2 separate regions of the Mus musculus genome follow, and region 2 is reported to be linked to region 1. The links are microRNA targets in miRTarBase. Many come from high-throughput screens and were not tested one by one. Region 1 holds a microRNA gene; the other region holds the end of a gene's coding sequence. Distances are from middle to middle.
Evidence for each region. Region 1 holds the annotated microRNA mmu-miR-292a-3p (AAAGUGCCGCCAGGUUUUGAGUGU, at 857-880, shown strand). A microRNA usually pairs through its seed, bases 2 to 8, with sites in the 3' UTR of a target mRNA and lowers its output. Matches are read on the target gene's strand: a 7mer-m8 pairs with bases 2 to 8, a 7mer-A1 pairs with bases 2 to 7 and ends in A, and an 8mer does both.

Region 1 (3,125 bases):
CGCGAGTGAAGTTTGGGGACCAGAAACCAAAGCTAGGAGTTACTGAGGGCAGGTCTAGGGAGTCTATGCAGTACATTTCATTAACTACGTGGTTTCATTGTAGAAATTTTGAGTTTCACTATACCTTGAGTTAGACCGATGTACTAACTCTTCCTTGATTTCATCCAGGTTTCCTTCAGGTTGGAGTGAATTTTAAGTTCTCCACGTTCTTTCCTCCTGGTAAATGTTTTAACGTCTGGACCGCCTCATCTTGCGGTACTCAAACTATGGGGGCACTTTTTTTTTTCTTTAAAAAGTGCCGCCTAGTTTTAAGCCCCGCCGGTTGAGAAAACGGCTATCTGGCACATTTACCAGCCCTGGTGCCACGTGTTCCGGGTTAACTGCAGCGTGGTGAGTACGGATTCGAAGAAAGGAATGAGACTGAGTATAGCGAAAGGCTAGGGATGGGCATCCTGCCCAGTAGACGGTAACTGAGGTGGTCGTTGTAGGGTACCTGGGGGCTCCATGTGCGTCCTGTCGCTGCTTGGAGCTGTTACACCTATGTAGCGGCCATCAAAGTGGAGGCCCTCTCTTGAGCCTGAATGAGAAAGTGCTTCCACTTTGTGTGCCACTGCATGGGGAAAACATCATAGCTTTGCATCTGACGCATCGGTTTACAGGAGCGGACAACCTGTGTGGGGGTTTAGGCTTGGAGTTTAATGGGTCCTATCCTAAAGAGGGCGGTTCAGTTGGGTGCCACGAGACGCGGATGGATGTAAGGCAGTCGTGAGTCCAGGTGCATTGTAGATTGTTCTTAAGCTTGACCTCCAGCCTGTGATACTCAAACTGGGGGCTCTTTTGGATTTTCATCGGAAGAAAAGTGCCGCCAGGTTTTGAGTGTCACCGGTTGAGAACTCAAAACGGCTAAGAACTAAGAATTAAGTTTTAGTGGGTCATGTTTTCACTGGGGTTGCATTTCTGGGCAGGTGGGTGTCACATGTGGGTTTGAGTCCGAACACTTGGGCGCATGCGGTACTAAAGGCTTTCCGCGTTCATAAAGGAGCCGGGATCCCACATGGGCCTCGCTCGGAGGAGCTGAGCCTCAGGTCTTGGAAGTTGGAACATACAGTGTCGATCAAAGTGGAGGCCCTCTCCGCGGCTTGGCGGGAAAGTGCATCCATTTTGTTTGTCTCTGTGTGTACATGGCGTCTGAAAAGCCGGCTGCAGCTGCAACCTGGAATCGCTTACCTGCTTGAAACAGGTATGTGTGCTGGAGGTGAATTCGTTGCCACTGGCTACTCGAGCTGCAAGGCTGGAGGTGAGGAGGAAGCAGGGCAGGGTGGAAGGAGGCACTCCAGGTCCAGGGGTGGTGAGTCTAAGCCTCAGGTCTGAGTAAAGAAAGGCCTACTTTTAAATCTCACGTGGCCGCCATATTAAGTCCTCTTTCAATTTTTTTCCTTTTTCTCCAAACAGGGTTTCTCTGTAGCCCTGGCTGTCCTGGAGCTAACTCACTTGTAGACCAGCCTGGCCTCAGCTCCATCCACCTGGGATTAAAAGATCCTATATATCTTGCTTGACTACTGTAGTTGCTATATCTTGCTTGACTACTGTAGTTGGACTGATGGTTGTGAGTCTTGATATGGTTGGATTGAATTTTTAGGACCTGCTGGCTGTAGCTGACTTTAACCTGGCTCCTAGCACAAACAAGCTTGGTGGACAGCCGGGTAGATAATACCCATAATACCTTTTGGCTTTACAATAGCCCAGGCTCATGAGGGCTGGGATTACAGGTGTTACATTGTGTGCCCTAAGCATAATCTTCATGGATTCTCTTTGTTTTTCAGGTGTTCCAGTTGAGTTGAATGTAATCCTGCCTAGCCTGGGGTACTTACTTGCCTTCAACCTGCCTGGCTGGCTGGTCTGGCTAAGAACTGACTATAAAGTTTCAGGTTTATTACCACAGCAGGTCCCTGTGGAAATGCTTCAATCTGTGGTACTCAAACTGTGTGACATTTTGTTCTTTGTAAGAAGTGCCGCAGAGTTTGTAGTGTTGCCGATTGAGAAACTGCAGTTGGCCTAAGTGTTGCATCATTTGGGTGTCATCTGTGGGTATGATTCAGTCTGTAATGGGGCAAAAGTAAAAGCTGAGGTGCACGGAACCTCACGGGAAGTGACCCAGATTTGACAGGTACTGTATTACATATAGCTGCATTTATCCTTTTGGCATTGAATAATCCTTAATCTTCAGTTCAGTTGTAGGCATGTTTGGATCTAGCGAAATTCCATATAGCCATACTCAAAATGGAGGCCCTATCTAAGCTTTTAAGTGGAAAGTGCTTCCCTTTTGTGTGTTGCCATGTGGAGAAAGCATCGGAACTTCAATCAACCAGAGACTCCTTGCTTGCTCATCTTGGTGAGACTCAAATGTGGGGCACACTTCTGGACTGTACATAGAAAGTGCTACTACTTTTGAGTCTCTCCTGTGGGCACCATTCACAGGTCGGCTGCTTTCATGCATGTGTAGTGTGTATCTGAATCCAGATGAAGGTTTCCTGGAACTGGGACATGTGGGTGCTATTGAATGAACCAAGGTGCTATGGGAGCAACCAGTGCCCTCAGCCTCCAAACATGAATAATAAAGTCTTGTTCTCTTGATTTTGCTGCTTTCTCAGTTTTTGTTTTAAAACACCCGCCATGGTTCCTAGGGATAAAAAAAGCTTGCAAGCATGCAAGCACCCTTTTAATCACTGGGGTTGAGACTAAAGGTAATCCTGGGCTATACAGAAAAACCCTGTCTGAAAAAATCCCCAAAAGTTAAACCAACACATAGCTGGAAGTGTTTTCAACAGTAATAGGGCACCTTTTGGGAGACACCCCTGTTTGCCTCTTGGGATTTAGGCATGCCACCCCTCCAATGGTTTTAAGGAAGAATTACCCTGTACTAGCTTAAAGGTGCCTTTAAGCATAGCCACATTTAAGCCCACATTTGTTTATATACTGTGAGTCTTTTCCATTTCTATACATCATGGCCAGTTCCTTTTAGTGGAGTGTCTGGATGGTTACAAGCTAACCTGAAATGGGGTGGTGCCAGGTTTTAAAAAGTAGTGGGTTGGGGAGCAGGGTGTGGGGGAGGATATAGGGGACTT
Region 2 (3,066 bases), 110 Mb from region 1:
TAAACAATTTAAGGCAAGATTTTGAACTTTATATACAACTTTAATTTGAAAAAAAAGTACTTAAAAAAGATACACATGCTTTAACAACTCATTCCCATAAACACAGTAATATAAAGCATTGGTGCCAGTCTCATTGGATTCCTCAGAGAAAACAGGTTCTTGGGATGAGCGATCATCTTCAGATCCTAGAGCACTGGCAAGAACAAAGAATTCTGGCACAGGACTTGTATGTAGCAGACTTATTTTTACTTGAAGGTAGTTATAAATATGATATACATAAACATTAGTGTCTTGGCCTGTCTAGCGTTCTCGTTTTCCGATGTATTTTAAGGTGACTGTTAAGAAGCTCTAGAAGCCAGCTGACTATGGTGACTGCAGCCGCAGTGCACAGAGGCTACGTTCTTCCTCCCTATCACTGTTTTTTTGGTATGGGCTGAAGATTAGCATTTTACAAAGAAATAACTTACATTAAAATATATGTATTCTAATGACCAAAGAAGGCACAAATTGAGTAAAATTAAGAGACAGTATCACCTTTTGAATTCTTGTTAACTATACAGTATTACTTATAATATATACTTTTAGATATTAATCAGATTTCTTGTCACTGAAGTGACATTACATTTTTAATTCTGTTTCTGCTAAGATACACGGTAACAGATCACAAAAAGGTCCACGAGTCCAGTCAATGACGACCTTTTACAAACAGCATTTTTTTAAGTCTGGGTGACCCATGGAATGGAATTAGGTTTCTCTCAAAAGAAAAAAAATATTCTAGTGCTACTTACATCTGCAAAACTATTTAAGGAAATGTTAATTGTGGAAAAAGCAAACAACGGTGCTTAGATCTTCATTTCAATTATCAAGTAGACAACACAGTTTAATATAAAAAATTCACATACTCATACAGGTTTCCCTACAAATGGACCATAGTGTTAGGCACCAAATATTTCAAGTTTTGATTTTTTTTAAAAAATGTATTCCAATGATAACACTCTTAACTCTTAATTTAACTCTGTAAGCATCATCATTTCTGTCAATCACTTTGTACAGTTCATAAAAATTTTATTCTAGCGAACTGAATCCGATTGTCCTTTCTTGGTACCCTTCATTAAGTAGTTTGTCAGTTTTCTCTTAACTACCAAATTTGCTACATCTCTATTACCTTTCTAAAAATATTTGAACTTCTAACCAAGAAATTTATTATATATACATGTTTATCAAAACTAAACAAAATTATGTCTGAAATGGGGAATAAAAATGAATCTTTTTTTATTTTTTGAGACAGGGTTTCTCTGTGTAGCCTTGGCTGTCCTGGAACTCACTCTGTAGACCAGGCTGGCCTCGAACTCAGAAATCCGCCTGCCTCTGCCTCCCAAGTGCCGGGATTAAAGGCGTGTGCTACCATGCCTGGCTTTAAAAATGAATCTTATTCTTAATGGCTACTCCACAGTAACTTCACACTTCTCTCTTGCAATTTTCATTTCAGTATATTACAGAAAATAATTCTTTCATGTGAATGTACAATGTTTCCAAATACAGGACAGTTTACACAACACCTTCCATAAATGTCTAAATTAAACTCCTTATCCTGCCTGAGCACGTTACCAAACAAAATAGGGAATAAGGCTGAACAATTTCCATTTGTTTAATGAGGGAGTAAAGTATAAATACATGGAAGTGAAACTCCAATTTCAGTTCACACCCTTACAAATGATAATGGAATGATAGAATTTAGAATACTAATTTTGAATATCAATCTCATTCAATTACGGGGCAATAAACATTAAGTTAAATAGCTTAATAGTGAAAACAACCAGAAGTAGAGGAAATAGTATTTCTGTGGAGAAACCATTAGTAAATGTGCATGACTTGCTGTCCTCAGTAAGGTGAAAATGCATGAAAACTACTTGCTCTTTAATCAGAAGTAGAGTGCCAGTGAAGCATGTAGTTAAGTAAGGCACTGTTATTTACAACTTCAGTCATTGGCACTTACTCTGAAAAGGCTTTAACAATGAATAAAAATCGTATTTTTTTCTATTCTATAAACGACTTAGTAGTTCTCAGCATTCTGACTACTATTTGTGCTTTGCGTTTCAGCCTGTTGAGTAGCAGCTGCATCTTTCCTTTGGTGTCTGTGAACATACACAGTGGTAAAGGCTGTGAGGTGCATAACAAAAAACAATTTGCTGTGTCTGTGTAGGAAGAGTACAGACAAGGTGACCAAAATGACACAGTATTATGTCAAAGTCTTTTTCAGGACTTAGTATATATTAAGTTTGGGATTGGTAGCACTCAACAAAATAACTTTGAAATAGCAATGGCTTCTATAAAAGTTAGTCATATGACTGACAGTTGGTCCAACATGTTAAGTTTATAATTTCTGCCAAAGTATGAAATTATACAAAGTTCCCAAGTGTGTGTATGTGCGCATGCGCACACATTTATAACTCCTTGTTTCCAAAGCTCAGAAGTCGGAAGTTTATAGATACGTTGCCGCAGTCAGCTGATACCACTTAACTGTCTCTTTGCTCAAGTTGAAATCTTTCAGTGGCAGGGTTATTCCACCCAAGAAGAAATTCTCCCGCAGTGATTCTGCACTGAGTACACTCAGTTGAAGTTCTCTCTGCCTCAGAGTTTCTTTGCTGTATCCACTATATACAAGCTAGAGGAGGGGAAAAAGGATAAGGATTGGTTTCTTGGAATCTTTTCAACAAAATGTAAGACATCAGTCAAAAAGTGATGCAATGAATGGCACTGACTAGAGCAGCAGAAGCATGCTTTTAACTTCTGGTCTGTCAGTGTTTAACTCAGACACTGGGTAAAGTAGGACCAATCACTGTCAAAAAACAGATCCCCAAACTCTCAGTCATGGTTTCTGTGAGCTGGAGTGACGGGGAAAGAAAAAGAAATTACCTGGTGATTACCTTAAGGTGATCTAATCGCTGGAGAAAAAAAAAGAGGATAGATGGAAAGCAAGTTTGATAATATAATTTTAAAATTATCTTCCAAAAACAGATTAAAATTCCATTTTCTTCTTTCTTTTTTTTTTTTGGTTTTTGAGAC

Region 2: miRTarBase lists Pik3c2a as a target of mmu-miR-292a-3p. Seed matches in the 3' UTR shown: 7mer-m8 at 1,378-1,384.

What each region holds. Positions count from the first base shown.
Region 1 is chr7:3,218,382-3,221,506 of GRCm38, forward strand. Mir292 (microRNA 292) reads left to right here and starts at 808; the gene lies at 808-889. It overlaps Mir290a (microRNA 290a), which reads left to right and starts at 245; the gene lies at 245-327. It overlaps Mir290b (microRNA 290b), which reads right to left and starts at 314; the gene lies at 257-314. D7Ertd143e (DNA segment, Chr 7, ERATO Doi 143, expressed) reads left to right here and starts at 403. Exons shown (of 1, transcript NR_028425.1): 1 at 403-2,634. It also overlaps Mir291a, Mir292b, Mir291b, Mir293, Mir294 and Mir295, and 1 more gene.
Region 2 is chr7:116,337,559-116,340,624 of GRCm38, forward strand. Pik3c2a (phosphatidylinositol-4-phosphate 3-kinase catalytic subunit type 2 alpha) reads right to left here. Exons shown (of 33, transcript NM_011083.2): 33 at 1-2,665. The coding sequence ends at 2,483. The region is part of intron 1 of Gm10589 (a long non-coding RNA gene); the gene reads left to right. Among named protein-coding and RNA genes, the nearest start is that of Rps13, 4.9 kb to the left of the region's middle.